4 linked regions of the Saccharomyces cerevisiae S288C genome follow. The protein of the gene in region 1 interacts with the protein of each later gene in a pairwise test. Each region holds a gene or a part of one and is shown in the gene's direction. Other genes may lie near its edges. The genes, in order: TOR1, GLN3, FMP48 and LST8.

Region 1 (11,314 bases):
TTCTGCGTCAAACGATGAATTGTTCAGGGACTTTTTATTGAGGGCCGCCAAAACTTCTTTGGGCTCCAAAATTGTTTCCAAGGATCATGATAGATTTGCTGAAATGGCTGTGGAAGCCGTCATAAATGTCATGGACAAAGATCGTAAAGACGTGGATTTCGATTTAATCAAAATGCAAGGACGGGTTGGCGGATCTATAAGCGATTCAAAATTGATTAATGGTGTCATTTTGGATAAAGATTTTTCTCATCCACAAATGCCTAAATGTGTTTTACCAAAAGAGGGCTCTGATGGTGTTAAGTTAGCTATATTAACGTGTCCATTTGAACCTCCTAAACCAAAGACCAAGCATAAATTAGACATTTCTTCAGTAGAAGAATACCAAAAATTACAGACTTATGAACAAGATAAGTTCAAAGAAATGATAGACGATGTGAAGAAAGCGGGCGCAGATGTTGTTATATGCCAATGGGGGTTTGACGATGAGGCCAATCATCTACTTCTACAGAATGATTTACCTGCCGTAAGATGGGTAGGTGGCCAAGAACTAGAACACATTGCCATTTCCACAAACGGTCGCATTGTTCCAAGATTTCAAGACTTGTCTAAGGATAAATTAGGTACATGTTCCAGAATTTACGAGCAGGAGTTTGGTACTACTAAGGATCGTATGCTGATTATCGAGCAAAGTAAAGAAACAAAAACTGTAACATGTTTTGTTCGCGGTTCCAATAAAATGATCGTGGATGAAGCTGAACGTGCATTGCATGACTCACTATGTGTGGTACGTAACTTGGTTAAAGACTCACGTGTAGTTTACGGTGGGGGAGCAGCCGAAGTGACTATGTCCCTGGCTGTCTCTGAGGAAGCTGATAAGCAACGTGGTATTGATCAGTATGCATTCCGTGGATTCGCCCAAGCGTTAGACACCATTCCAATGACTTTGGCTGAAAATTCTGGTCTTGATCCAATCGGAACTTTGTCTACATTGAAAAGTAAACAACTGAAAGAAAAGATTTCCAACATTGGTGTCGATTGCTTAGGTTACGGGTCTAATGACATGAAGGAACTATTTGTCGTTGATCCATTTATTGGCAAAAAGCAGCAAATTCTTTTAGCTACTCAATTATGTAGAATGATTTTAAAGATTGATAACGTCATCATTAGTGGTAAAGATGAGTATTGATTTTGTATAAATAAATAATAAAAGATAAGTTTTAATCACATATCCCACAATTTTTTTTCTCAGATCAGCATTTGGGGTTACTTGATTGTACATATACGTGTATATAATCAGTTGTATACGTATATTTAAATGAAGTGAGGGGCGTTTCAGTTATTTGCATTTGTTTTTGTACCTTTTTCCTTATAAGATGAGTCATGACTCAATAATCAAACCATGTTGAAAAGGCTGAAATTTCTAACAATTTCCGGACCATATTCCTCATAATCTTTCTTAGTGTGACAGTAGCCTTTGAATTCGGCTGTTTGTGCCAGCAGCGAGCCACCAAACCAGACAGCGTTTCTCTGCTTCCGATGAGAAATCACGGAAACATCTACACCAGTCGATTTAGTTCCACTTAACAGCTCACTTTGTGCGATTCTGTTATTTACGATAGACTTTAGATCTCTTTGTAAACGACGTCCAAAATCTTTGAACATGGTAGACCCACCTGATAGTACAATATTGTTGTATAAACCTTTACGGACGTCAATAGGGCAAGCCTGGATAGTTTGATCCACTACCGTGGGTAAAGGAGTCAAGAAGTCTGAGGATGCAATTTCTGGATTGAAGAAGATTTCAGGTGCTAAGAATCTTTCGTAACCAATATCTACGACTTTTCTCCTTGTCTTTTCTTGGTTTTCCACCACAAATTGGGCAAATTTAGAAGGATCTTTATCGAATTTGTTAAACTCCTTTACAATATCTGGACAGACGTAACAGTATTCTTGCTTAATCTTTTCGGCAGTTCTCAAGGAAGTGTCTGCTTCACCACGTTCTCTTAGCAAGGATTGGATGAACAATGTGATGTCTCTACCGGCTATTGGAATGTTTTTAATTGCTGAGCCAATGACGTAACCTTCCGCCACTGGGATGACGTGGGTGACACCATCACCAGAATCTATAACAGTACCAGTTAATGATCTATCCGTGACTTTTGAAGAGGTCCATGACGCAGCCAGAGCCAAAACTGCTTGCACAGCAATATATAGACCAGCACAATTAAATGATTCAAAAAAAATCTCCGCCACTTGCTCTCTGTTTTCTGGAGGATTCAGTGGTGGTTCGGTCAATAGGAAAAAATGATCTTCAGGCTCTGTTCTTAAATACTTGAAGATGGAATTTTCCCAGAATCTTTCCATGTGATCCCAATTTTCCACTTGACCGTGTCTGATTGGATAGCTCAAAGAGTAAGAGGGTCCTTGGGATGCTACTAAAGCCTCATTTCCAATATAGAAATCCAAATCTTCTGTACCTCTTTTACCGGATAAATTATTAGACAGCAAACCACCTGTTGCACCATTGAAATTGGTTGCAGAGGTGGAATTTCCAAAGTATGATGCTTCATTACTAACTGCTGAGGGCGCACCAACGCCCGAGGACTTCTTTGTATTTGAAGGTGCAGCTGTGGCTATTGCAGTAGGGAAGACCCAGGAGGGAGAATCATTACCGGCGAAACCGAGCTTGGTCAGCCCGGTACCATTGTCCATGACAACAGCGGGATTGTTTAAGTATGACATTGAATCCTAATTTCTTGCTCAATCGTGAGGCCTTACGGTAGGGCCAATTCTTGATTAAACTACTCTCATATATTTTTGTTTGAAACTTTTGAAAAGGGGTTCTCGCCATTTTGAAGCCGCGGACAGCCGGGTGACTACTGAAAGTCCTTATCGAAGGGTCTTCTTGAGCTTACGTTAAAAAAGAGCCATAGTAGCTTCACGAGAGAGTCATTGGTAAAGTGAAACATACATCAACCGGCTAGCAGGTTTGCATTGATATGGAACCGCATGAGGAGCAGATTTGGAAGAGTAAACTTTTGAAAGCGGCTAACAACGATATGGACATGGATAGAAATGTGCCGTTGGCACCGAATCTGAATGTGAATATGAACATGAAAATGAATGCGAGCAGGAACGGGGATGAATTCGGTCTGACTTCTAGTAGGTTTGATGGAGTGGTGATTGGCAGTAATGGGGATGTAAATTTTAAGCCCATTTTGGAGAAAATTTTCCGCGAATTAACCAGTGATTACAAGGAGGAACGAAAATTGGCCAGTATTTCATTATTTGATCTACTAGTATCCTTGGAACATGAATTGTCGATAGAAGAGTTCCAAGCAGTTTCAAATGACATAAACAATAAGATTTTGGAGCTGGTCCATACAAAAAAAACGAGCACTAGGGTAGGGGCTGTTCTATCCATAGACACTTTGATTTCATTCTACGCATATACTGAAAGGTTGCCTAACGAAACTTCACGACTGGCTGGTTACCTTCGAGGGCTAATACCTTCTAATGATGTAGAGGTCATGAGACTCGCTGCAAAGACTCTGGGCAAGTTAGCCGTTCCAGGAGGTACATATACCTCTGATTTCGTGGAATTTGAGATAAAGTCTTGCTTAGAATGGCTTACTGCCTCCACGGAAAAGAATTCATTCTCGAGTTCGAAGCCAGACCATGCTAAACATGCTGCGCTTCTGATTATAACAGCGTTGGCAGAGAATTGTCCTTATTTACTCTACCAATACTTGAATTCCATACTAGATAACATTTGGAGAGCACTAAGAGACCCACATTTGGTGATCAGAATTGATGCGTCCATTACATTGGCCAAATGTCTTTCCACCCTACGAAATAGGGATCCTCAGTTAACTAGCCAGTGGGTGCAGAGATTGGCTACAAGTTGTGAATACGGATTTCAAGTAAACACATTAGAATGCATCCATGCAAGTTTGTTGGTTTATAAGGAAATCTTGTTTTTGAAGGATCCCTTTTTGAATCAAGTGTTCGACCAAATGTGTCTAAATTGCATAGCTTATGAAAATCATAAAGCGAAAATGATTAGAGAAAAGATTTACCAGATTGTTCCCCTATTAGCATCGTTCAATCCTCAATTATTTGCTGGCAAATATTTGCACCAAATTATGGACAACTATTTAGAGATTTTAACCAATGCTCCAGCAAATAAAATACCACATCTCAAAGATGACAAACCACAGATTTTAATATCGATTGGTGATATTGCATATGAAGTCGGGCCCGATATCGCACCTTATGTGAAACAAATTCTTGATTATATTGAACATGATTTACAGACGAAATTCAAATTCAGAAAGAAATTTGAAAATGAAATTTTCTACTGCATCGGAAGATTGGCAGTTCCCTTGGGCCCCGTTCTAGGTAAATTATTAAACAGAAATATACTGGACCTGATGTTCAAATGCCCTCTTTCCGACTATATGCAGGAAACGTTTCAAATTCTGACTGAGAGAATACCATCACTAGGCCCCAAAATAAATGACGAGTTGCTTAACCTAGTCTGTTCAACCTTATCTGGAACACCATTTATCCAGCCAGGGTCACCAATGGAGATACCATCGTTTTCGAGAGAAAGAGCAAGAGAATGGAGAAATAAAAACATCCTACAGAAAACTGGTGAAAGTAACGATGATAATAATGATATAAAAATCATTATACAAGCTTTTAGAATGTTAAAAAATATCAAAAGCAGATTTTCGTTGGTGGAATTCGTGAGAATTGTTGCACTTTCTTACATTGAGCATACAGATCCCAGAGTAAGGAAACTAGCTGCGTTGACATCTTGTGAAATTTACGTCAAGGATAACATCTGCAAACAAACATCACTACACTCTCTGAACACTGTATCTGAAGTGTTATCAAAGCTTCTAGCCATTACGATTGCGGACCCTTTACAAGATATCCGTTTAGAAGTTTTAAAGAATCTTAATCCATGTTTCGATCCCCAGTTGGCACAACCAGATAATTTGAGACTCTTGTTTACTGCACTGCACGATGAGTCGTTCAATATTCAGTCAGTAGCAATGGAGCTTGTCGGTAGGTTGTCTTCCGTAAACCCTGCATACGTCATCCCATCGATAAGAAAAATACTACTGGAACTGCTAACAAAATTAAAATTCTCAACTTCTTCTCGAGAAAAGGAAGAAACTGCCAGTTTGTTATGTACTCTTATCAGGTCGAGTAAAGATGTTGCGAAACCTTATATCGAACCTCTTTTAAATGTTCTTTTACCAAAATTCCAAGATACCTCTTCAACGGTTGCATCAACTGCACTGAGAACTATAGGTGAGCTATCTGTTGTAGGGGGCGAAGATATGAAGATATATCTTAAGGATTTGTTTCCTTTAATTATCAAAACATTTCAGGATCAATCAAACTCTTTCAAGAGAGAAGCTGCACTTAAGGCCCTTGGTCAACTTGCAGCCTCATCTGGTTACGTGATAGATCCTTTACTCGACTATCCCGAATTATTGGGTATATTGGTGAATATATTGAAGACAGAAAACTCTCAAAATATTAGGAGACAAACAGTCACTTTGATAGGTATACTGGGAGCTATCGACCCATATCGCCAAAAAGAACGTGAGGTTACCTCTACTACCGATATATCTACAGAACAGAACGCCCCGCCTATCGACATTGCTCTTCTCATGCAGGGCATGTCTCCTTCGAATGATGAGTATTATACCACTGTTGTCATTCACTGCCTGCTAAAAATCCTAAAAGATCCATCCCTATCATCTTACCACACTGCCGTGATCCAAGCGATTATGCATATTTTTCAAACCCTTGGTCTAAAATGTGTTTCATTCTTGGACCAGATCATCCCAACTATTTTGGACGTAATGCGTACATGCTCTCAGTCACTATTAGAATTTTACTTCCAACAGCTTTGCTCTTTGATTATTATCGTAAGGCAACACATAAGACCTCATGTCGATTCTATATTCCAGGCTATCAAAGATTTTTCTTCGGTTGCTAAGCTACAAATAACGCTTGTAAGTGTTATTGAAGCAATATCAAAGGCTCTGGAGGGTGAATTCAAAAGATTGGTCCCTCTTACTCTGACCTTGTTCCTTGTAATTTTGGAGAATGACAAGTCTAGTGACAAGGTCCTCTCCAGAAGGGTATTGAGACTGTTAGAATCGTTTGGTCCTAACTTAGAAGGTTATTCGCATTTGATTACACCCAAGATAGTTCAAATGGCAGAATTCACCAGCGGGAACCTACAAAGGTCTGCAATAATTACTATTGGCAAACTGGCCAAGGATGTTGACCTTTTTGAGATGTCCTCAAGAATTGTTCACTCTTTACTTAGGGTACTAAGTTCAACAACGAGTGACGAACTCTCAAAAGTCATTATGAATACTTTAAGTCTACTGCTAATACAAATGGGCACATCCTTTGCTATCTTCATCCCTGTCATTAATGAAGTTTTAATGAAGAAACATATTCAACACACAATATATGATGACTTGACAAACAGAATATTAAACAATGATGTTTTACCCACAAAAATTCTTGAAGCAAATACAACGGATTATAAGCCCGCGGAACAAATGGAGGCAGCAGATGCTGGGGTCGCAAAATTACCTATAAACCAATCAGTTTTGAAAAGTGCATGGAATTCTAGCCAACAAAGAACTAAAGAAGATTGGCAGGAATGGAGCAAACGTCTATCCATTCAATTATTAAAAGAGTCACCCTCCCATGCTCTAAGAGCTTGTTCAAATCTTGCAAGCATGTATTATCCACTAGCCAAAGAACTTTTTAATACCGCATTCGCATGTGTTTGGACCGAACTTTATAGCCAATATCAAGAAGATTTAATTGGGTCATTATGTATAGCCTTATCTTCTCCCTTAAATCCACCAGAAATACATCAAACATTGTTAAACCTGGTAGAATTTATGGAACACGATGACAAGGCATTACCAATACCAACTCAAAGCCTGGGCGAGTATGCTGAAAGATGTCACGCCTATGCCAAAGCGCTACATTATAAAGAGATTAAATTTATTAAAGAGCCTGAGAACTCAACTATTGAATCATTGATCAGCATTAACAACCAGCTGAATCAAACGGATGCTGCAATTGGTATATTAAAGCATGCCCAACAACATCATTCACTTCAATTAAAGGAGACATGGTTTGAAAAATTAGAGCGTTGGGAAGATGCACTACATGCTTATAATGAACGTGAAAAGGCAGGTGATACTTCCGTGAGCGTTACACTCGGTAAGATGAGATCCCTTCATGCCCTTGGCGAATGGGAACAGTTGTCGCAATTGGCAGCTAGAAAGTGGAAAGTTTCGAAGCTACAAACTAAGAAGCTAATAGCTCCCTTGGCAGCTGGTGCTGCGTGGGGGTTGGGAGAGTGGGATATGCTTGAGCAATATATCAGCGTTATGAAACCTAAATCTCCAGATAAGGAATTTTTTGATGCAATTTTATACTTGCACAAGAATGATTACGACAATGCTAGTAAGCATATATTAAACGCCAGAGATTTGCTTGTGACTGAAATTTCCGCGTTGATCAATGAAAGTTATAATAGAGCATATAGCGTTATTGTTAGAACTCAAATAATAACAGAGTTTGAGGAAATCATCAAGTATAAACAATTGCCACCTAATTCCGAGAAAAAACTTCACTATCAAAATCTTTGGACAAAAAGACTGCTGGGCTGCCAAAAAAATGTCGATTTATGGCAAAGAGTGCTTAGAGTAAGATCATTGGTAATAAAGCCCAAGCAAGACCTGCAAATATGGATAAAATTTGCAAATTTGTGCAGAAAATCTGGTAGAATGAGGCTAGCAAATAAGGCATTGAATATGCTACTAGAAGGAGGCAACGATCCTAGTTTACCAAATACGTTCAAAGCTCCTCCCCCAGTTGTTTACGCGCAACTAAAATATATTTGGGCTACAGGAGCTTATAAAGAAGCATTAAACCACTTGATAGGATTTACATCCAGGTTAGCGCATGATCTTGGTTTGGATCCGAATAATATGATCGCGCAAAGTGTCAAACTCTCAAGTGCAAGTACTGCTCCGTATGTTGAGGAATACACAAAATTATTAGCTCGATGTTTTTTAAAGCAAGGTGAGTGGAGAATAGCAACACAACCGAACTGGAGAAACACAAATCCGGATGCAATTCTTGGTTCTTATCTATTGGCTACACATTTCGATAAAAATTGGTACAAGGCATGGCATAATTGGGCCTTAGCTAATTTTGAAGTAATATCCATGGTTCAGGAAGAGACTAAGCTCAACGGAGGTAAGAATGATGATGATGATGACACGGCAGTTAATAATGATAATGTGCGGATTGACGGTAGTATCCTAGGAAGTGGTTCTTTGACTATTAATGGCAACAGATACCCGCTAGAGCTTATTCAAAGACATGTTGTTCCAGCGATCAAGGGCTTTTTTCATTCAATATCTCTATTAGAAACAAGTTGTTTGCAAGACACGTTGAGGTTATTGACTCTTTTATTTAACTTTGGTGGTATTAAAGAAGTCTCACAAGCCATGTATGAAGGCTTCAATTTGATGAAAATAGAGAACTGGCTTGAAGTCTTACCACAGTTGATCTCTCGTATACATCAGCCAGATCCTACGGTGAGTAATTCCCTTTTGTCGTTGCTTTCTGATTTAGGGAAAGCTCATCCACAAGCTCTCGTGTATCCTTTAACTGTCGCGATCAAGTCTGAATCTGTTTCAAGACAAAAAGCGGCTCTTTCAATAATAGAGAAAATTAGGATTCATAGTCCAGTCCTGGTAAACCAGGCAGAATTAGTTAGTCACGAGTTGATCAGAGTAGCCGTTCTATGGCACGAATTATGGTATGAAGGACTGGAAGATGCGAGCCGCCAATTTTTCGTTGAACATAACATAGAAAAAATGTTTTCTACTTTAGAACCTTTACATAAACACTTAGGCAATGAGCCTCAAACGTTAAGTGAGGTATCGTTTCAGAAATCATTTGGTAGAGATTTGAACGATGCCTACGAATGGTTGAATAACTACAAAAAGTCAAAAGACATCAATAATTTGAACCAAGCTTGGGATATTTATTATAACGTCTTCAGAAAAATAACACGTCAAATACCACAGTTACAAACCTTAGACTTACAGCATGTTTCTCCCCAGCTTCTGGCTACTCATGATCTCGAATTGGCTGTTCCTGGGACATATTTCCCAGGAAAACCTACCATTAGAATAGCGAAGTTTGAGCCATTATTTTCTGTGATCTCTTCGAAGCAAAGGCCAAGAAAATTCTCCATCAAGGGTAGCGACGGTAAAGATTATAAATACGTTTTAAAGGGACATGAAGATATAAGACAAGATAGCCTTGTTATGCAATTATTTGGTCTAGTTAACACTTTGTTGAAGAATGATTCAGAGTGTTTCAAGAGACATTTGGATATCCAACAATACCCGGCTATTCCATTGTCGCCTAAATCTGGTTTACTAGGATGGGTACCAAATAGTGACACATTCCACGTTTTGATCAGAGAACACCGTGATGCCAAAAAAATTCCGTTGAACATTGAACATTGGGTTATGTTACAAATGGCCCCCGATTATGAGAATTTGACTCTTTTACAAAAAATTGAAGTATTCACGTACGCTTTAGATAATACAAAAGGCCAAGACCTTTATAAAATATTATGGTTAAAGAGTAGGTCGTCAGAGACATGGCTAGAACGTAGAACAACTTATACGAGATCTTTAGCAGTTATGTCCATGACTGGTTATATTCTGGGACTAGGTGATCGCCATCCAAGCAACCTGATGCTAGATAGAATCACCGGTAAAGTTATCCACATTGATTTCGGCGATTGTTTTGAAGCTGCCATCTTAAGAGAAAAGTATCCAGAAAAAGTGCCATTTAGACTAACTAGGATGTTAACATACGCAATGGAAGTTAGTGGAATTGAAGGCAGTTTCCGAATTACTTGTGAAAATGTCATGAGAGTCTTAAGAGATAATAAAGAATCATTAATGGCGATCTTGGAAGCTTTTGCGCTTGATCCTTTGATCCATTGGGGATTTGATTTACCGCCACAAAAACTTACTGAGCAAACTGGAATTCCTTTGCCGTTGATTAATCCTAGTGAATTATTAAGGAAGGGGGCAATTACTGTCGAAGAAGCGGCAAATATGGAAGCAGAACAACAAAATGAGACCAAAAACGCCAGAGCAATGCTTGTTTTGAGACGTATTACAGATAAATTAACGGGCAATGATATCAAGAGGTTCAATGAATTAGACGTCCCTGAGCAGGTTGATAAACTGATCCAACAAGCCACTTCTATTGAAAGGTTATGTCAACATTATATTGGATGGTGCCCATTCTGGTGACTGCGGTGTCATTTTTCATTTCGTGCTTTGTTTACTATTTATTTTTTTTGTATTACGCATTTGTATACGTGTGCAAGTATTGTGTATTATTATTATTATTATCATTATTTTTGTAATATCTCGTCATTATGTGAAATGAAGGATGATATAAGGTACATAAATTGTGAAATCAACTCCATTTAAAACAACTTTATTGGATAGATGGCACATGGTACTTTTCACAATAGGTATTGGCAATATCAGTCCATTTTGTTATGAGCGGATGTTTTTCTTGCAAGTCAAAGTTTGGATCAAATATGGACTTACTAAGTACTTTGTTAATGCGTAATTCTTTTTGAGCATCAATATATGCCTTACTGAGGTCCTCATCTTCATCACCAAAACGTGTTCGTAGGCCAAGTAAAATCCCCATAATTATGCCAACTTGTTTCCCTAATTTAGCGCCCGTTGGGAAACCATCATTGAAACCCTCTTGCAGCTTTTCTTCTTTAGAACTCACTATTCCGTCCAAGTACCCCCTCTTGCTATGATTCTCTCTTAACTTCACTAAATCTGGAGATCGTTCAGTTTCGACATCACTGTCTGATGCCCATACATCGTCCCAAGTATTCGACATCTCTATATACTATTGTAACACTGTTCCTTTTTTGTTCTCTTCTATCAAAAACCTTTCTCATCGTTATTTTTCACTCTTTTACTTCGCGTATTTCAAAGCAATCAGGAAGTAACTCAAGCGAACAAGTCAATGCTATAAGAGAAGTAAAATAGAGAGACAGCGAGAAATACTGGGGGAAAGTATTGGCAATCACTTGAGATGTTTGAAGGGTTTGGTCCAAATAAAAAGCGTAAGATATCAAAGTTAGCCGCAGAGCAATCATTGGCACAACAACCCTGGGTTGAGA
Region 2 (7,893 bases), on another chromosome or scaffold:
TCTTCGTCGCTATTCAAACTGTCGTTCTCAGGATCACTAATAAAGTTGGGATGCACCTTCTCATCGTCATCGTCATCGCGAAAGTAACTTCCCACACTAGTCGGTATCAAAGGAGAATCAAACCCTGAAATTTGTGAATCTGGCACAGTTTCAAACTCTTCATTCGGTGATGAGTTCACGCTTCCCATTTGTGACACTGCCCTTTTGTGCGTCTAACAAAATTTTATCACTTTATTGCTATTTACTTGAAAAATTATATATGAATATATTTCATAAAACGATGCTGACATAATATGTAACATAAAAAAAGGAATAACCTAAAACAAATACAAAGAAGACCCCATATAAATGAATATAAATGTATATTTTGCTTGAGCAAATGAAGAATGTACTACTTCTCAAGAGTAGCTGCTAGAACTTTTTGCTGTTGTATCTTTTTCTGTTTAGCCACAGCGTACAGCAGGCCAGACAGAAATCCTAGAAAGATAGAAAAGAAGGACAAAAAGTTTTTTGGAGCGTCAAAGAACACCAATCCCGCCAACGCTATGGGCAATTTGTTCAAAGCACCAACCATAGAATACGTTGTAGAGGAAGTTACACGAACACACCAGCCGGAACAGTACGATATCCCCACGGACATGAGCCCACTGATGACCATTGCTGCCAGTGAGTCGGCGGACAAGTTCACAGACAAATTCTTTGTGGACCAATCTTCCATAATGAAGGAAAAGACTAGCAGCAAAGGCAATGCCAGAACGTTGTTATAAAACATAGTATCATAGTCTTTAAAGTTAGTCAGCCGAATTCTCTTCCGCATAATCAAAACGAACAATGCAGACGAAATACAATTGGTGAACATCCAGAGGTACCCCGGATTCAACACAAAGATGGTTGACTCAACAAGTTCCTGATCGAGATCCTCCAAAGATGATGCTTTGATTGCAATGGCCTGCTGATCGCCCCAGGTGGCCACTACAGATGAAAGGACCATCATAATAAATGACGTCAACTCCATAGAAGTGACTTTTCCGCCAAAGAAGAGGACCTCGCCATAAGCAATGAGAATGATCGTCAGATTCTTGAAAATTGTGTAGATGGGCACGGCAAGGTATTGTAAGCTCTTTGACGACGTATAAATCATCAATACGAGCAGCAAAGAAATTGGAAACCAGTTTTTTACATCTGTCCTGTTCAAAGATCAAAAATTAGCAACGCCTACAATTCGTAGGATACATAGCGTCACAGTGCACACCAGTGATTGTACAAACAACATCACAAAGTTCATGTTAAAGTTGTCCAGGTTAACCACGAATTTGTTCGTTACTGTCATCAAAATCGAGGACGCGCAGTAAGATAAGATTGAAGCCGGCCCAGAGTTGGCCACTGATTCCGTCCATTCATGCTTATGCTTGCTCATAATTACCACACCTTCTTGATCTCTTTACAGCTTTTCAACCTTCCATTCTTGTACTCTATCTCTACCTGGCCCTTTAAACATTCTTAATATGATATATTCACATTTTTTGCTCTATTACCCGGCGGACAGGTTCCCGAAAGAAAGTGACATGGCAATGCTGAGAGAGTGGAAAGAGTCATCTTGCAAGACAGAGAAAGATGTTCAAGAGTGGTAAGCTAATGTCAGCGCAGTAGCCCATCCCACAATAACAGAGTGTGTAAGAAAGAGAGACGAGAGAGAGCACAGGGCCCCCTTTTCCCCCACCAACAAACAAATGCAAGACGACCCCGAAAATTCGAAGCTGTACGACCTGCTGAATAGTCATCTGGACGTGCATGGTCGAAGTAATGAAGAGCCGAGACAAACTGGTGACAGTAGGAGCCAGAGTAGTGGCAACACCGGTGAAAACGAGGAGGATATAGCATTTGCCAGTGGATTAAACGGCGGCACATTCGACTCAATGCTGGAGGCACTGCCCGATGATTTATATTTTACGGACTTCGTGTCTCCTTTTACAGCAGCTGCCACGACCAGCGTGACTACTAAGACGGTCAAGGACACCACACCAGCTACCAATCATATGGATGATGATATTGCGATGTTTGATTCACTTGCCACAACTCAGCCCATCGACATAGCCGCATCCAACCAACAAAATGGTGAAATTGCACAACTTTGGGACTTTAACGTGGACCAATTCAACATGACGCCCAGCAACTCGAGCGGTTCAGCTACTATTAGTGCTCCTAACAGCTTTACTTCCGACATACCGCAATACAACCACGGTTCCCTCGGCAACAGCGTCTCCAAATCCTCACTGTTCCCGTATAATTCCAGCACGTCCAACAGCAACATCAACCAGCCATCTATCAATAACAACTCAAATACTAATGCGCAGTCCCACCATTCCTTCAACATCTACAAACTACAAAACAACAACTCATCTTCATCCGCTATGAACATTACCAATAATAATAATAGCAACAATAGTAATATCCAGCATCCTTTTCTGAAGAAGAGCGATTCGATAGGATTATCTTCATCCAACACAACAAATTCTGTAAGAAAAAACTCACTTATCAAGCCAATGTCGTCCACGTCCCTGGCCAATTTCAAAAGAGCTGCCTCAGTATCTTCCAGTATATCCAATATGGAACCATCAGGACAAAATAAAAAACCTCTGATACAATGTTTCAATTGTAAAACTTTCAAGACACCGCTTTGGAGGAGAAGCCCAGAGGGGAATACTCTTTGCAATGCCTGCGGTCTTTTCCAGAAATTACATGGTACCATGAGGCCATTATCCTTAAAATCGGACGTTATCAAAAAGAGGATTTCAAAGAAGAGAGCCAAACAAACGGACCCAAACATTGCACAAAATACTCCAAGTGCACCTGCAACTGCCTCAACTTCAGTAACCACTACAAATGCTAAACCCATACGATCGAGGAAAAAATCACTACAACAAAACTCTTTATCTAGAGTGATACCTGAAGAAATCATTAGAGACAACATCGGTAATACTAATAATATCCTTAATGTAAATAGGGGAGGCTATAACTTCAACTCAGTCCCCTCCCCGGTCCTCATGAACAGCCAATCGTATAATAGTAGTAACGCAAATTTTAATGGAGCAAGCAATGCAAATTTGAATTCTAATAACTTAATGCGTCACAATTCGAACACTGTTACTCCTAATTTTAGAAGGTCTTCAAGACGAAGTAGTACTTCATCGAACACCTCAAGTTCCAGTAAATCTTCATCCAGATCTGTTGTTCCGATATTACCAAAACCTTCACCTAATAGCGCTAATTCACAGCAGTTCAACATGAACATGAACCTAATGAACACAACAAATAATGTAAGTGCAGGAAATAGTGTCGCATCCTCACCAAGAATTATATCGTCCGCAAACTTTAACTCAAATAGTCCTCTACAGCAGAATCTATTATCAAATTCTTTCCAACGTCAAGGAATGAATATACCAAGAAGAAAGATGTCGCGCAATGCATCGTACTCCTCATCGTTTATGGCTGCGTCTTTGCAACAACTGCACGAACAGCAACAAGTGGACGTGAATTCCAACACAAACACGAATTCGAATAGACAGAATTGGAATTCAAGCAATAGCGTTTCAACAAATTCAAGATCATCAAATTTTGTCTCTCAAAAGCCAAATTTTGATATTTTTAATACTCCTGTAGATTCACCGAGTGTCTCAAGACCTTCTTCAAGAAAATCACATACCTCATTGTTATCACAACAATTGCAGAACTCGGAGTCGAATTCGTTTATCTCAAATCACAAATTTAACAATAGATTATCAAGTGACTCTACTTCACCTATAAAATATGAAGCAGATGTGAGTGCAGGCGGAAAGATCAGTGAGGATAATTCCACAAAAGGATCTTCTAAAGAAAGTTCAGCAATTGCTGACGAATTGGATTGGTTAAAATTTGGTATATGACCGCGTATTATCATTATCATTATTCTTATTATGTTAATAATTACTGAACGGTTGCATTGATAGATTTTCATTACCTCTGACCACAATCCTGAGCATTGGTATTATTTGTTTTGCTATTTTCAGATCAAATTACTTGTAAAAAAAGAAATGGTAGTATATTGGCATTGAACACTGGCTGTTCTATTTGTATTACTTTTATGTGTAGACATATATTATTAGGAATTTGTAATATCACTCTAATTATTATTTGGTATTCTTTCTCTATCTCCCCTGTTTCTTTTGTCTATCTCTTTCTTTTTTTTTTTTAAACGGCCCTTTTTTAATGGCATTTTCTTTTTCTTATAATGCCCACAGTTGAATAATTTAACTAGCTTTTGACTGACACATAAACAATAATGTATATGGTCCATCCAATGAAATGACAGTTCTATTGCATTTTACCTACTTGTATATTCTGGATACTGCACAAGAAAATGGGTGTCTCACAAATATGGGAATTTTTGAAGCCATATCTGCAAGATTCCAGAATTCCGTTGAGAAAGTTTGTCATAGACTTTAATAAATCGCAAAAAAGAGCTCCAAGAATCGCGATTGACGCATATGGATGGCTATTTGAGTGTGGATTTATCCAAAATATAGATATAAGCGCCAGATCTAGATCAAGATCAAGGAGTCCTACCCGTTCTCCGCGTGATAGTGATATCGACAGTAGTCAAGAATATTATGGTAGCAGAAGTTATACAACTACAGGAAAAGCTGTGATAAACTTCATATCTCGATTAAAAGAACTACTGAGTTTAAACGTCGAATTCTTGCTTGTATTTGACGGAGTTATGAAACCCTCTTTCAAAAGGAAATTTAACCACGAACAGAACGCTACTACTTGTGATGATGAGAAAGAGTACTATTCAAGCTGGGAACAGCATGTTAAGAATCATGAAGTTTATGGCAATTGTAAAGGATTGCTAGCGCCATCTGACCCTGAGTTCATCAGTCTTGTACGGAAATTATTAGACTTGATGAACATTTCATATGTAATCGCATGTGGGGAGGGAGAAGCCCAGTGTGTTTGGCTGCAAGTTTCTGGGGCTGTAGATTTCATTTTAAGTAACGATTCAGATACTCTCGTATTTGGGGGAGAAAAAATCCTGAAAAATTACTCGAAATTCTACGATGATTTTGGCCCAAGTTCAATAACTTCCCACAGTCCCAGTAGACATCATGATAGTAAAGAATCTTTTGTTACTGTTATAGATCTACCCAAAATTAATAAAGTAGCAGGGAAGAAGTTTGATCGCCTGTCTCTCTTATTTTTCAGCGTGCTATTAGGTGCCGATTACAATCGTGGAGTCAAGGGTTTGGGTAAAAACAAATCTTTGCAGTTGGCTCAATGCGAAGATCCTAACTTTTCCATGGAATTTTATGACATTTTCAAAGATTTCAATTTAGAAGATTTGACATCAGAAAGTCTGAGGAAGTCTCGGTATAGATTGTTTCAAAAAAGATTATATTTATACTGCAAGGATCATTCTGTCGAGCTATTTGGAAGAAATTATCCTGTTTTATTGAATCAAGGTTCATTTGAAGGCTGGCCATCAACTGTCGCAATCATGCACTATTTTCACCCCATTGTCCAACCATATTTTGATGAAGAAGTTCTCAGTGATAAATACATAAATATGGCTGGAAACGGACACTACAGAAACTTAAATTTCAATGAACTGAAATATTTTTTACAAAGTTTGAATTTGCCTCAAATTTCTAGCTTCGACAAGTGGTTTCATGATTCTATGCACGAGATGTTTCTATTAAGAGAATTTTTATCAATTGATGAGTCCGATAATATAGGTAAAGGTAATATGAGGATTACCGAAGAAAAAATTATGAACATAGATGGTGGAAAGTTCCAAATACCATGTTTTAAAATACGGTATACAACATTCTTGCCTAATATACCCATTTCTTCTCAATCTCCTTTGAAGCGCAGTAATTCTCCCAGTAGAAGCAAGAGTCCCACACGACGTCAGATGGATATAATGGAACACCCAAATAGTCTTTGGTTACCCAAATACTTGATACCTCAATCGCATCCATTAGTAATTCAATATTATGAGACACAGCAACTTATACAGAAAGAAAAAGAGAAGAAAGGTAAAAAATCGAATAAGTCTCGGCTACCACAGAAGAATAACTTGGATGAGTTTTTAAGAAAGCATACTTCGCCGATTAAAAGTATCGGAAAGGTAGGCGAGTCGAGAAAGGAAATCCTGGAACCTGTGAGAAAAAGGCTTTTTGTAGATACAGACGAAGATACTAGTCTGGAAGAAATACCGGCTCCCACAAGACTGACCACCGTCGATGAACACAGCGATAATGACGATGATTCGTTGATTTTTGTAGATGAGATTACAAACAGCCAAAGCGTTTTAGATAGTTCACCCGGTAAAAGAATTCGGGATCTTACACAGGACGAACAGGTTGACGTTTGGAAGGACGTAATAGAAATATCACCAATAAAAAAGTCAAGAACTACTAATGCTGAGAAAAATCCGCCTGAGTCTGGTTTAAAATCACGCTCAAGCATCACAATCAATGCTCGCCTTCAAGGTACTAAGATGTTGCCTCCAAACTTGACTGCTCCAAGGTTAGAAAGAGAACACTCCTCTGTCCTTGACCAACTTGTCACAGACGCACAAGATACAGTCGACCGGTTTGTAGCCTGTGACAGTGATAGCAGTAGCACTATTGAATGAGTTAACGGGCACAGCGTCAAAAAATCCGCCACCACAGTTGATCGCGCCGAAAACGAGGGAGTTGCGATGAGTAAAATGAAGGGCATATATAAACAAGAGTAGACAGAGACACATTTTTCAATATCATATATATAGATTTAATTGGAAAGACAGTTATATTCTAACGTCAAAAACTTAACAAGTAAATCAAGTTGCAATGTCGTCGCTTATTTCAAAAACCATTAAGTATGATCCAGCCAAGGATAAATTAATCACATTAGCATGTGGATGTTTTTGGGGTACAGAACATATGTATAGGAAGTATTTGAATGACCGTATAGTGGATTGTAAAGTAGGTTACGCTAATGGAGAAGAGTCTAAAAAGGATAGCCCCTCTAGTGTCTCTTATAAGAGAGTTTGTGGTGGTGACACAGATTTTGCGGAGGTTTTACAAGTATCCTATAATCCCAAAGTGATAACTTTGAGAGAATTAACTGATTTCTTTTTTAGAATCCATGATCCTACTACATCTAATTCACAAGGACCTGATAAAGGTACACAGTATCGCAGTGGATTGTTCGCTCATTCAGATGCTGATTTAAAAGAATTAGCCAAAATAAAGGAAGAATGGCAACCAAAATGGGGTAATAAGATTGCCACAGTTATTGAACCAATCAAGAACTTTTACGATGCTGAAGAATACCACCAGTTATATTTAGATAAGAATCCACAGGGATATGCATGCCCTACTCATTATCTGAGAGAAATGTAGCTTTTTTAGTGTACGTGCCCTTATTTATGAAAAAAAGTCAAGTGCATGAATGAAATATTTACTGTTGAAGAATTTATTATATATATAGGTATACAGGATCTATCTTTTCGATAACGTAACTTAGTATCACATGTATTAGTATTAATACTGTGATAGGATTGTTAGCTGTTGTTTTTATATTTGCAATTTATTTATGATCTTTTTTGATGATCAAACCGTTGAGTTTTTGAACATTAAAAAATAGTGAGAAAGAAGAACTGAAATGGGAATTGAATTGATCAATATCTGTAGTGGTCGGCCTTGAATGGACCTTCTTCTGGAATACCCAAGTATTCAGATTGGACTTTACTCAATTTAGTCAATCTAACACCCAAGTTGCCCAAGTGGAACTTAGCGACAGCTTCATCCAAGATCTTTGGCAAAACGTGGACACCAACTTCGAATGGGCCTGTCTTTTGGAATTCAA
Region 3 (6,706 bases), on another chromosome or scaffold:
TGCTTGGCCAGGGATCGATGTCCACAAGAATCGACTATGCGGGTATCGCTAACAGTAGCAGAAACAAACTATCTAAATTTGTAGGTCAGGGACAAAACATATCTGGTAAAGCTCCGAAAGCGGAGCCCAAGCAAGATATAAAAGATATGAAGATAACGTTTGATGGCGAGCCCGCCAAGCTAGATCTGCCTGAAGGCCAATTATTCTTTGGTTTCCCAATGGTCCTACCGAAAGAAGACGAAGAAAGTGCCGCTGGTAGCAAATCCAGTGAACAAAATTTCCAAGGCCAAGGGATCTCACTAAGGAAGAGCAATAAGAGAAAAACGAAAAGTGACCATGATTCGTCCAAGTCCAAGGCTCCCAAAAGCCCGGAAGTAATCGAAATTGACTAAAAGATATATACTAGTATACAACAATATAGTGTCTTTGACAGATATATAGAGCATTTTCAAGTTAACAGATCTTAGAATCCAAGTATCTTATGCATCGCATTAGCTCTGCTGCATTTGCTGTTCGTTTAGTAAAAATAATTACGTGCGCGGTTGCGCGATATTTCCCTTGCTTAATGCCGAAGTAATTCTCTTCGTTTACCCATACTCGAATCTATTGTGTTGTTGAAAAATAAAAAAAAAAAGAACCAGGTTATATAATTGTGAGTTGATCAGTATATAAATGAGAGAAAAGAAGTTTCTATTGTTCCAAATTATATCCAAGCTGATTTTTTAACCCTTACCTCACGAAAAGCAAGTTTAAGACAAACACTCATAAGAATCCTTACATATACTAAAAAACAAATGCAAGTCTCCCCAGCTATTGTAAAAGGTATCGCAGTCTCATCATTAGGTTTATACGCCGGTATTTTAACTTCATCTACCGTGATTTCTATTACCACCCCAATAAATGTTCTAACTCAACATTTGAAGAATGTTTTGTGCACATTAGGATGCTGGAGCACCGTTTTAGGTGGTTTAGCTACTGGTGCCTTTGGACTCAGCTACTATCTAGCTGCACCAGGAGAAAGACCAAACTACCTTTTGTGCGGACTTGGTGTCGCCCCATTATCTGCAGCCTACCTATACTTAGTATCACTGTTCAATCACAAGCTAGCCCCAAAATGCACACGTGACCAAAATGATTTAGAAAAGCAAAAGGATGAAAAATTACCCCAACATCACCCGGAAGTCAAAGATGGGGAAGCTGCATGCCCATTCTCAAAGATGAACAACGCCAAAACATTAAAACCTGAATCCGAAAGAAGCGTAAAATGTCACTCATACATGTCATTGCACATGAGCATTGTAACCGGTATAACAATTTTTACCTTTGGTAAGTGTATCCTAGATGGATTCAAAGCATGAACGACGAAGCACGTGACACGTTCCCTTCAAACATCACAATTATTTAAGCGAGACTAATATATATGTTTAGCGAAAAAAAAGGCCAAAAAAACTAGTAAATATACAAAGCAGAGTATTTTTGGCTCTTGTCCACATTGGATAAGAGAATATTTATTTTTCACACAGAAAAAAAAGTTATATACGTATCTCTAAGAAAGTCAAAGACAAATTACGTAGAATGTGATTCATTCCCATTTCGCCCGTACACTCTCTGTCTCTGTCTCTGTCCCAAACTTCCCTTCCTATACGTATTCATAATCTGCTTAAACGTCAACAGTAGTTTCGGAACATCTTCATACGTAGGGAATACGACTTTTTTCTTTTCACCTGCAGCTTGAGCCAAACTAAAACTGGGATCCGGATAAACTATTAATAAAGGATCGCAAAGTCCATACGCCAGTTTAATGGGAATGAAATGATATTGCGAAGTGACGTCAAGAATCGACTTTAAGCTATATCCGAAGTCAAGAAAGCCGAACCTTACATGCGGTCGGAAAGCAAACGAGGAGATTAGATTGGTTTTCATATCCGCTAAATTTTCTTTTGATTTTACTTTGGCTTAATCTAATGCATGTATATCGGAAGAAGCAACCGATCTGGCCCAGTTGAGTCGTGCTACCTTAGTCATGCCCAGGAAAACCGGATTCCTTCTTTTCATTATGACATCCGTTTAGGTCAATAGGCTTTTTTTTCTCTCGCCCGTGCCTCTCCGTGTTCGATGAATGTGCAGCTTGCCTCCGAGCGGGCGAGCCACCTCGAGCGGGTGACGAAATAGTGGAAAAGAAACGGGGAAGCAAAACTGTGCTGTTCTGGCCCGCAGCGGACGAACGTCATTAAAGGCGCTCCATTTCTGTCGTGAGGGTCTTTCGGTGCGGTGGTGAGGCTGCGTAAACAAGCTTGCTCTTCATACCCCTCCCGTGGAGCTAGTTCGGAAGGACTATTGGCGCATCTTCTGTTGAGAGGTTCCGTAATTCTCCGTAACGTCCCGTTCACCACTTTGCATGTGCTCTCACGTACGGCCGTCTCTTTTCGGCCTTCGGCCCGTTCCGATTTTTGTACCCCTTACGTGCTTTGAATTCTAGAAGGCATCTCCTCTCCGATGGCTTGGTACAGGGAGCACTAGGGAAATTGCACATGGAAGTATCTGGAATACAAAGTTTTTGAAAAGAAAAGCCGAGCGTAATATTGGGACAATACCCAGTTCTCAGCCTTTTCAGCGCGGGTATGAGACAGCTTGCAACAGGTAAAAGGAAGTTAGAAGGGTTAGGTGAAGGGAACGATGATGCTGCCTGAGAACAAAAATGCAGCTTCATGTTACATACAATAAAGGAAGGATAATTAAGGGGACCATGCAATAAGGGACAACTTAATTTTGGAAAAATCGGAGCTTAGTTGCATCTACCTACTAATACTTTCCCCAAAGAATAATAATACGAGTACAATACATATATATATATATATATAATATACACATGTAAGTGATGACTATTCTTAATACAAAAAAATTTCCCTTTTATAATAACTATTCTTAGCATTAAATAACCCGTTACTGACAAAAAGCATATAACATAGGACTCAAGATCGACTCTCATACCCTCCGAATCAAATTCTCACTCGTATACGCAATCATTTAAATAAGCACATCATTATCAGCATATACCGAATAATAAAAAGCAAAAATGTATACAAAACTAAGATCTATACAATCAGGAACATTTAGCACAGTTTATAAAGCATGGAGTACTACACATAACCGCTACGTCGCTTTAAAGATTACTCCTAAATACAAAACTTCAGAAGCCAACATGAAGAACGAGTATGATGTAATGAAGATTTTGAGTTCTTGTAATCCTCACCCCAACATCTGTTCGATGCTCGACTTTTACACGGATGACTCGTACTACATCATGGTGCTAGAATACTGCGAATGTGGTGATCTTTATGACTTTCTAGATATTGCTAAGAGTCAAGGTAGCCCGTCGTCTCCATCTTTGATTCAAATTGATATGCAAAAGATAATCAAACAACTGTGCTCAGCAATCAGCTTTGCTCACAGCTTGGGTATTGCTCATCGTGATATCAAACCAGAAAATATTTTGCTAACGATAAATGGTGACATCAAGTTGGCAGACTGGGGTCACGCTATCCAATCCCCTAAATCTAACGACTTCCAGATTGGTACCGATAATTACAGGGCGCCAGAAACTTTCTCTGGCCGCGTTAGTAACTCTTGTTTTAAGAAGAATTTCGATCGGTCATCGGCTCCATTGTATAACACATACCAAGCTGACTATTGGTCATTGGGTGCCACCATATTTTATCTGATGTTCGGCGATTGCCTTTTTAGAGTCTCCAAATCAAAGAAGGTTCAGCATCTAAAAAATTTCGATGAGTTTGAAAAAGATCCATTTGCATTCATTTACAGGAAATACGTAGTACCAAGGCTCTCCTGTGGTTACAATGATGAAGAAGACCTACACGTTAGCCTGCAGCATACGAGGCAGTACATATGGCAAGATCTACCCGACATTTATGATGTCTTCCATTTGTGCAAGATTATGGTTGATACCTTATTAAAGGTATCGAACGCTAAAGAGAGGTCGATGGAGAATTTCATCAATGAAGTTGATTCTGCATGGAACAAAGATAGCTCGATGGACAGCTGCTTCTCGTACCAAAATAAGATTGATCTGTTTTGGGAACAGTGGTCTGTGAACACGGAAACAGTACCAGCAAAGTTCCAATTGAAAAATTTTGAGAAACCTTGCCTAATTCAAGATGGAAAATAAGAAGTAAAAAAGACCTTTTGAAAGTTTCGCCTCATTTTCCTTGATCTGACTTTTTATCCCCTGCTTATCCAATTTTAGTTAGGAACTTTGGCATAATTTCAGTATTACATACTACCTAATCGACATAAAATAATATTACATATTCATTTTTTTAAAAAATAATCATAATCAATTTATCCTTTTTATTCCTTTTTTCTCCTGTGCAAGGTTGATGGTGATGTTTATGATGGTGTGTTTATTATTTACAAATAAAGATGCTATCTAATTCTTGTATATCGTATTAACATGCAAATGCACCGCGAGTGGCAATTTTCTTCTCGTAATGGATCAGTTCAACATCTTCAATGGTATGAACCAGAATTTTCGAATTTTCTTCGTTAAATTCGAATATGAATGTTCCCTTAATCAGCCGGGATAATCTCTTTTTTTTACTTCTTTTACCGTCGCCATCATTTTTCTTCTTCTCATCTTCTTTGGAATTTTGAGTTTCGTTGACCTTATTTTCCATTGACCTTTCAGCTGCATTTTCAAGGTACTCAGAGATAACACTTTGGTTCAAATTATTGGCTGTAGGATGTAAAATGTAGTCTATGACTGGTACCGACCTCATTGAAAATGAACCGCCTGCACCATTGCCTCGTTTCTCCTCTTTCAATCTGTCATTAATTTCTAATTTGGTAATCTTGCAATGGTCTTCCGGTATGCAGCTTTGCCATTTGATCACCAATTTGTCATTACATGTTATGGTATTATAACTCTGAAGAGCAGATTTAACTTCTTCATCATGCGATGTCGATGTTAGAGTCTTTACTGAACTTATATGCAAGCGACATTCATCGCCCAAGATAAACTTTCGTACTATCATTCGCATTGCATTCAAAGAAGCCATGTATTTTGATTTTCCATGTAACACTGGAATATATGGATGCGATGTTGGAAATAGTCTAAAAACAACGTTATCCGCCAACACTGACTCCTTGAACATTTTTTGTAACAAATTGGGAACACCTTTAACCACTAAATAATCTGTTATTTGCCCCAAATTGGCCACTTTTTGAGAATTGGAGTACCATCGAGGAAAGATTCCTTTGATAGATATTATGCCGGCTCTGCAAACACACTTTAGTAACATAAGTCTTTCCCCCTATTATCTATGAATATAAACTGTCTATCTTTCCTTGGTTGTGATGTATCGTTTTCCGTAGAGGCTTGCAGCTTTATGGCTCATACCTGTCATCCCTCTTTATGGGCCTTTTAAGGGCGCTCTCTACATTGTATTCTATTCATTTTTTTCGTAACCGTAACTACGCGCCTTCTTAACGCAAGGCGCTCGACTCATCATGAGATGCGTATGAATGTCTTTCAGTGTATAGAAATACATCTCACCAAATCTATTTATTTAACTAATATTTCTTTTAATATTTTCCTCAAGAAACTCAGGCAGTTAATGTTGTGTCCTATTTTTTTTAGTTCTTTCCCATTTTTATAGCACTCGTACAAAAGAAATCGAAATATTTCAATATGTTTAGACTCGGTTCTATGTGTTAAAACTGCAAGATGAAAAAGTAACATCTATCTTAGATTAAGGTCCTTTCTTTATATTCTTTACTTTATTAGTGAGCAGAAATATTATTAAAAATTGCCGCTGTCATACTGTACGATATTATTACCCGACCGCAGAATGTTCCTCAATACTTTCTTTTTCTTCCTTTTTTTCACTTCGCTTTCTTCATGTCCATCAATGAAATTTCAGCTTCATAGCGATTTATTTTCAGTGTACGTTATTCAATGAAGATTCCTTTTCCTCGATCTATCCAGACGACTAGACATAGCGAGAATTCTTTACGGTAGAAGCAACCTATAGATTACCGAATCATAACTTTCTTTAGTGTTGATTGAGACGTGTTGTGTTTAAACTATCCATTGCATCTCGATAAAAAAACATAGTACTACAACAAACAGTCAGGTTCAATAACACCTAAACATTATGTCATCTCAGTTTTTCCTGAAAACCTCTCAGGATATAGAGCTCTTCCAAAGCTACCCAACTTTTGAGCAATCCAACACAAACTCCAAGGATTTCCCTGTCATTTCCTCGGTTTTATCGCCATGTGGCAGATTTTTGGCTTTATCTACGAAGGAGAACGTCAAAGTTTTTACAGGTCCATGTTTGGATAACGTTCTATTAACAATGAAGTTGTCCGACGTCTATGACCTACACTTCTCTCCAGCAGGTAACTACTTAAGCACTTGGGAGAGAGCGTCTATACAAGACCCAAATCACAAGAACGTTAAAGTTTGGTATTTGAATAAACCATTTAAGAAAGATTGCGTTTCGGAGGATATAGTCCCTGCTTACGAATATCAAGCCAAATCCCAAAGCGGTTGGTTTTTACAATTCTCCAAATTAGACAATTATGGGCTAAGACTTTTTAAACACGACTTGAAGATTGTTAAATTAAGCTCCGCTAATGCCGACAATTTCGACTTCCAATCTCCGTTTGCTGTCTTGTCTGATGA
Region 4 (6,735 bases), on another chromosome or scaffold:
TAGAATTTGGACTTACAAAAACTTCCGGTTTCTGAGTTGTGTTATCTAGGTAATTAAGATTTCCAGTCTTGTTGTGAAAAAAGCTAAATACATCTCTGTTATGGAGCAATTGCTTAACATGTTGCAATATATTTGTAGACATCAGTCAAACTTTTGAAAATCCCTACGTAATGACTGTTCCTGACAAATTGTAGCCTCTCGGTGACCTTCTGTCAAGTCAACCATTCCTTACATACATCATTTATATGCCAGAGGGCAGGGTAATGCAGACATACAAAAACTTTAATTTACCGCGCACCGCACCGCGCAATTTAAGATTATTGAGTCAAAATTAATGATGTATATTATATGATTTCTGTGGTGATAAATTTATTTGAGTTTATAATTATATTTGCTTAGGATTACTATTAAAAATTTTCATCTATAGCACGTTTTTGAGCGTCGTTTAGTGATATTGGATAGTCCACTTTATATTTTACAATCAAATTACCTCTCTGAGATGGGTTCTTTGGAGTTGGCATACCTTGACCAGGATAAGTAGAAGTTTGTGAGGGTTGGACAGGCTGTACTCTCGACAAAGGTAAGGTTCTGCCATCAATTGTTTGGATAGTTTTTGAAAAACCTAACAATGATTCCTTGAAAGATAGTGGCAGAGTGTAAATTAGGTCATCACCGTCTCTTTTAAAGTTTGGATGGCTCTTTTCCTGGATGACAAACTGCAAAGTCTTTCTACGGCCCGTTTGAGGATTGTAATCACCCTGGTTCTTGTATGTTATTTTGGTACCAGCTTTCCAACCCGGTTTTAATTGAATGTCAATTTGTGTCTTTTCAGAGGCCCCATGTGGGCCCTTTCTTCCAATTTTAAATGACTTCTTTTTACCAACAAACAAATCTTCTAGACTAACTGGTAAATTAACTTGAACTGTTTCTTCCTCTGGATACGTGGGAGAGCTTGATGCTGATCTAAAGCCGCCAGGCATACCTCCCATGCCGCCATGCATTCCTCCCATTCCTCCAGGCATACCTCCCATACCAGCACCGCCGCCAGATGGATAACTAGAGAAACTGAAGCCACTGTCATCAGCACCACCGAATGGGGAACTGCCGCCAAAGAATTGTGAAAAAATATTGAAAGCATCCTCATTACTGAACGCATGTCCTCCGGAGAATCCGCCCGCACCGCCAGGGAAGCCTCCAGCACCTCCAGCACCGCCAGGACCACCAGGACCAAAGCTTGGACCACCAGATCTAGCAGCCTCGAGACCGTATTGATCATATATTTCCCTTTTTTGAGGATCATTTAAAATTTCAAAGGCCTCTGATATCTCCTTAAACTTTTCTGTGTCACCTGTTGGCTTATCTGGATGATATTTTAGAGCTGCTTTTCTATAACCCTTTTTCAGTTCTTGCTCATTAGCACTTGGAGATACTCCAAGTAAATCATAAAGTTTTGTCTCCTTGACCATTATTAGTTCTGTATACTATACTCTATTATATTGATGTGAATGTATTAAAAAAAAAATCTTAAAATGCAAACAACTTATCCTTTATCCTCTGAAGAGTTTCTGGATGGTTATACAATTCTAAGTCGTTAAAAGAATTCGTGTAAGAGCTTAAATAATATTAATTAGAATTTTTGACAAGAAAGCGCATAAGTTTAAAAAGGGATTAACAATACGGTAAAGGGACGAGAAATCTATACAATATATATTAAATCTCGAACTACCTTGGCAAGGAGTTTGTGCTGACAGTGGTTGAAAAACCCGTAAAAGGATATCCCATTCTTTTTCCAGAAGTTTCTGGAACGTTCATATAAACCAAAGAGGGTAACACAATACGTTAAGATTCAGAAAAGTAACGACTAGCTATTACTGATCATGTTATAGAAGAGTGCGACAACCATATATTATTAGCGCAGCGATCAACGTGGCAGTCTTGTCATCCATATAAAAAAGGAGTTCTGATTGATGTCTGTTATCTTAGTATCTGCTGGCTATGACCACACAATAAGATTTTGGGAGGCTCTTACTGGGGTTTGTTCAAGAACAATTCAGCATTCCGACTCACAGGTTAATCGCTTAGAAATCACCAACGATAAAAAGTTGTTGGCAACAGCAGGCCATCAAAACGTACGGCTTTATGACATTCGGACGACAAATCCCAATCCAGTAGCATCCTTTGAGGGTCATCGGGGAAACGTTACCTCCGTTTCTTTTCAACAGGACAACAGATGGATGGTGACCTCTAGCGAAGATGGGACCATTAAAGTTTGGGATGTGCGTTCTCCGTCCATTCCTAGAAATTACAAACATAACGCACCAGTAAATGAAGTCGTAATTCATCCTAACCAAGGCGAGTTGATATCTTGTGATAGAGATGGTAATATAAGAATTTGGGACTTAGGAGAAAATCAGTGTACCCATCAATTGACACCTGAGGACGATACCTCTCTCCAGTCTTTATCTATGGCAAGTGATGGTTCGATGTTAGCGGCAGCAAATACTAAAGGTAATTGTTACGTATGGGAAATGCCAAATCATACTGACGCATCCCATCTAAAACCGGTAACAAAATTCAGAGCGCACTCCACATATATAACTAGAATTCTACTATCATCTGATGTAAAACATTTGGCAACATGTTCAGCGGATCACACTGCTCGTGTGTGGTCGATTGATGATGATTTTAAGCTAGAAACGACATTGGATGGCCACCAAAGGTGGGTTTGGGATTGCGCATTTAGTGCTGACAGTGCGTATCTAGTAACGGCATCGTCCGATCATTACGTGAGATTATGGGATTTATCAACTAGAGAAATTGTCAGACAGTACGGTGGACACCACAAGGGAGCTGTATGTGTCGCATTAAACGATGTATAGTTTACAATTTATCAACTACCAAGCTTGAAGGACCGAAGTGACAAAAAACATTATGATTTTCAGTGTTTGCTTATCCGCCTTTTTGTAAATATAGATTTTACTATCCTGTGCATTTTAGTTAATTGATTGTTCACAAAATGAAAGCAATCGCGATGCATATCATCAATGAAAGGAAGACGAGAATGTACAGTATAAACATATTCCCTTGCATGTAGCACTAAATTTTAAGTTTCGTGTAGACGAAAGGTTTAGCTACTTGCGCGACAAAATAGTAATATTTACAGGCATTCTTAAACATTTTATATGTGTACATACTGTGCGTAAGGAAAGAAAATCAAAGCTTGCTCAAAAAAGCCCGCCTACTTCTAGCAATGACTTCAACTTTATTTTTGGTGTAATCAAAACGTCTAGACACAATTGACTTCTTCCCGCTTTTGGTTTCAACCGTACTATCTGTTTCGGGGAAGACCGACTTTAAGTATTTCCTACGCAAATGTACTTCTTCAGATAAAGTCAAAAAATTACAAGCGTCCTTGAAAAGCGCCTTAATATAATTCTTGTCTTTTTTGGTTTCTAAGTGTTGGGATTTTTCTAGGTCCTCTAATAGTTTTGCCTTCAAAGCTTGTTTTTCTTGTTCCGAAATATACTGGTGTAGCTCTAGCTTGTTATTGAAAGATGTAGATGAGTTCAAAAGATCACTACACTCATCAATCTTGGATAGACTCTCCGACAATTTCTCATTCGTCCAGCTTTCTCTCCTTGCCTTCAAACGCTCTTCTTCTTTTAAATAATATCTACTATTGAACCTTGCATCTTCTATGGGGTATCCATTCTTCAGGGAAGCCCTTACACGAATTAAGTATGACGTTGCCAATTCGATGTCTTTTATATCTAACTTAAGTTCATCCCGAAGAACCTTACTCAACTTGTCTTGTAACTCCTTTCTTTTAGATTCCCTGACCTCTAACTGCTTCAAAATATTAGGTTTTGCGAGATAGTCTTTTCTAGAAATAGAATTTTCTTCCTTATATGCTGCCCTTTTATTTGTTAACTCAAAACGGCCAAACCTCCTTACGGTAGGCTCAAAATGAGGAGATGGCAGTTTCAAATCACGCCTCAAGGCAACACCAATGAATTTTCTTTTAGGATGAAAAGGATCAAGATAGTAACGAACAACACCAGGTTCTAAGGCGAATATGGAATGATCTTTCCCTATACCAACGTTTTCTCCAGGATAAAACTTTGTTCCTCTTTGCCTCATAATAATTTCACCTGTGGAAACATCCTGGCCTTCATATTTTTTTGGTCCTAACCTTCTTCCTGCAGAATCCTTCATACTTGTTCTCGAGCCCGCAGCCCTTTTGGTGGCATTACGCACTTGAAGGAACACACCAGACACATGTTTTTGGAATGAAAAACTAGAAGTATCTAGTAAAATAGGATTCCACATATTCTCACCTTAGGTTAAGCTTGAAATATTATGACCACCCAAACTGGCGAGTTTTATTTTTACAATGAGCCAACTTCATTCTTCAGTGAACTATCTTGAATGAGTCTCCAAAGAAAGAGCTTTAAAATTCAATAGCGGAACGTCAGATATCGAAACACCCAGTCATAACAGCCAAATTTGCATAATTGGTATAAAAACAGTGTGTATAACATTACAGAGAAGCCGTTGTGTGAAAATCTTTTTAGTACCTATTCAACCAAACAATTGAACTTGAACACCAAACTCTAGCCATCCTTATCCTCTTCTGGTCACTACATATACCTCAATTTACGTCTTTCCTTGGGTCGTTTCAAATGACTCTCTTTGTTTAGCGAGGGAAATGAAAAAGTAGAGTACTGGCTGAAAAATTTCATAATTATGTTTGCTCATGAGTTCGAAAACAGTTTGAATGAGCAGATAGAACGCCAAATATTAAGTTAACAGGATATGTCTGATCAAGAACGAGGTTCAGAAAACGTATGTTTCATTGATAAGGGAGGTGAAGAAAAGTTTGTAAAATGAGACTTTATGAGGTCATTGGAATTAAATAGACATCAACGAATGGTGAGTCACCATTTAATGCTGCCTTCAAAACGCTTGCTTCAATGTGATTCCACTGGTTAAAGGGGGTTTTTTGAATGCATTGCTAATGTTTATCTACTGGCTATGAAAGTGAGAATATCAATTATAAATAAAACCCTGATTTTCTACCTGCCATGCTATAATGTACAGTTTATTCCAACTTTGAAACGCAATGACTTATTGGTCTCTCTCATTATGAAATTTAGTTACTTTTACTAATGTTATTCATTGTTGTAGAATAATCGAAGTAGATCGAGGTCGAGATCACCTGTTCGTCGTCGGATGAGTGATGATCATGGTTATGAAAGAGACAACCATTTGTCCCGGAGGTCAGGTAATTATAACGGTAGGCGTAAGTTCGCAGATACGTACAGAGGAAGCAGAGATAGAGGAGAATATAGAGGAGGTAGAGAAAGGTCTGATTACAGAGAAAGAGAAAGGTTCAATAACAGAGATAATCCTAGATCTAGAGACCGTTACGATGATAGGCGCAGAGGAAGAGATGTGACTGGTCGTTATGGGAACAGACGTGATGACTATCCTAGAAGCTTTAGGAGTAGACACAATACACGTGATGACAGTAGGAGAGGCGGTTTTGGTAGTAGTGGAGCAAGAGGTGATTACGGTCCTTTGTTGGCACGTGAATTGGATAGTACATACGAAGAAAAGGTCAATAGAAACTATTCCAATAGTATATTCGTGGGTAATTTAACATATGACAGCACCCCCGAAGATCTCACTGAGTTTTTTTCACAGATAGGAAAAGTAGTCCGCGCGGATATAATTACATCAAGAGGGCACCACAGAGGTATGGGTACAGTAGAGTTCACTAATTCGGATGATGTTGACAGGGCCATCCGCCAGTACGATGGGGCCTTCTTCATGGATCGTAAAATCTTCGTCAGGCAAGATAATCCACCACCGTCAAACAATATCAAGGAAAGGAAAGCACTCGATAGAGGAGAGCTTAGACATAACCGAAAAACACATGAAGTTATTGTAAAAAATTTACCTGCTTCCGTTAATTGGCAGGCTTTGAAAGACATATTCAAGGAATGTGGGAATGTCGCACACGCTGATGTGGAATTGGATGGCGATGGAGTATCCACTGGATCTGGTACGGTGTCCTTTTATGATATTAAAGATCTGCATAGAGCGATTGAGAAATACAACGGTTATAGTATAGAGGGTAACGTCTTGGATGTCAAGTCTAAGGAAAGCGTACATAACCACAGTGATGGAGACGATGTTGATATCCCAATGGATGATTCTCCCGTTAACGAAGAAGCTCGAAAATTTACCGAAAACGTTGTCGGTGGAGGTGAAAGAAATAGACTCATATATTGCAGTAATTTGCCATTTTCAACTGCAAAAAGTGATCTTTACGACCTTTTCGAGACAATCGGAAAGGTTAACAATGCTGAATTAAGGTATGATTCCAAAGGGGCACCAACTGGAATAGCTGTCGTTGAATACGATAACGTCGATGATGCAGATGTTTGTATTGAAAGATTGAATAATTATAACTATGGGGGTTGTGATTTGGATATATCGTACGCTAAACGCCTCTAGAACTACTCTCGATCTATATACTTTCTCACCTATTGGATCTGCGACAAGTATTTATTCATTCTTGACTTATTTCCAGGCTTTTTAACTTTATAATGTCATTGTGTATACGTATAATCTGAAAAAATTTCGAAGACTTTGAAGAAGACTGTGAAAAGAGTCTGATTTTTCCAATACAGTGAAAATGGGTTTAACAAATATCCAAAAAAGTACTTT

What was found.
Region 2: the proteins of TOR1 (region 1) and GLN3 interact in a two-hybrid assay, tested with the Saccharomyces cerevisiae proteins (5 studies listed by BioGRID, with this or other methods).
Region 3: the proteins of TOR1 (region 1) and FMP48 interact in binary tests that used the Saccharomyces cerevisiae proteins (3 or more experiments, as listed by UniProt).
Region 4: the proteins of TOR1 (region 1) and LST8 interact in binary tests that used the Saccharomyces cerevisiae proteins (3 or more experiments, as listed by UniProt).

The regions. Positions count from the first base shown.
Region 1 is NC_001142.9:556,417-567,730, forward strand, and holds TOR1 (phosphatidylinositol kinase-related protein kinase TOR1), read left to right. Parts: upstream 1-2,999; coding exon 3,000-10,412; downstream 10,413-11,314. Other genes in the region: chaperonin-containing T-complex subunit CCT5, read left to right, coding at 1-1,186; ARP3 (actin-related protein 3), read right to left, coding at 1,393-2,742; YAE1 (Yae1p), read right to left, coding at 10,603-11,028; RFC2 (replication factor C subunit 2), read left to right, coding at 11,227-11,314.
Region 2 is NC_001137.3:228,065-235,957, forward strand, and holds GLN3 (nitrogen-responsive transcriptional regulator GLN3), read left to right. Parts: upstream 1-1,730; coding exon 1,731-3,923; downstream 3,924-7,893. Other genes in the region: Smc5-Smc6 complex subunit KRE29, read right to left, coding at 1-188; FMP49 (Fmp49p), read left to right, coding at 387-767; HVG1 (putative GDP-mannose transporter), read right to left, coding at 392-1,141; YER039C-A (uncharacterized protein), read right to left, coding at 1,199-1,417; YEN1 (crossover junction endodeoxyribonuclease), read left to right, coding at 4,397-6,676; MXR1 (peptide-methionine-S-sulfoxide reductase), read left to right, coding at 6,873-7,427; SAH1 (adenosylhomocysteinase), read right to left, coding at 7,706-7,893. UniProt on the Saccharomyces cerevisiae protein: Positive nitrogen regulatory protein. Required for the activation of transcription of a number of genes (including the allantoin pathway genes) in response to the replacement of glutamine by glutamate as source of nitrogen.
Region 3 is NC_001139.9:590,520-597,225, forward strand, and holds FMP48 (protein kinase FMP48), read left to right. Parts: upstream 1-3,076; coding exon 3,077-4,186; downstream 4,187-6,706. Other genes in the region: polyubiquitin-binding protein UFD1, read left to right, coding at 1-392; SCM4 (Scm4p), read left to right, coding at 795-1,358; YGR050C (uncharacterized protein), read right to left, coding at 1,567-1,923; MCO32 (Mco32p), read right to left, coding at 4,467-5,318; YGR054W (translation initiation factor 2A), read left to right, coding at 6,174-6,706.
Region 4 is NC_001146.8:618,100-624,834, forward strand, and holds LST8 (TOR complex subunit LST8), read left to right. Parts: upstream 1-1,967; coding exon 1,968-2,879; downstream 2,880-6,735. Other genes in the region: putative ubiquitin-protein ligase ASI3, read right to left, coding at 1-142; type II HSP40 co-chaperone SIS1, read right to left, coding at 408-1,466; mitochondrial 54S ribosomal protein bL27m MRP7, read right to left, coding at 3,214-4,329; HRB1 (mRNA-binding protein), read left to right, coding at 4,816-4,845, 5,188-6,522. UniProt on the Saccharomyces cerevisiae protein: Essential component of both TORC1 and TORC2. TORC1 regulates multiple cellular processes to control cell growth in response to environmental signals. Nutrient limitation and environmental stress signals cause inactivation of TORC1.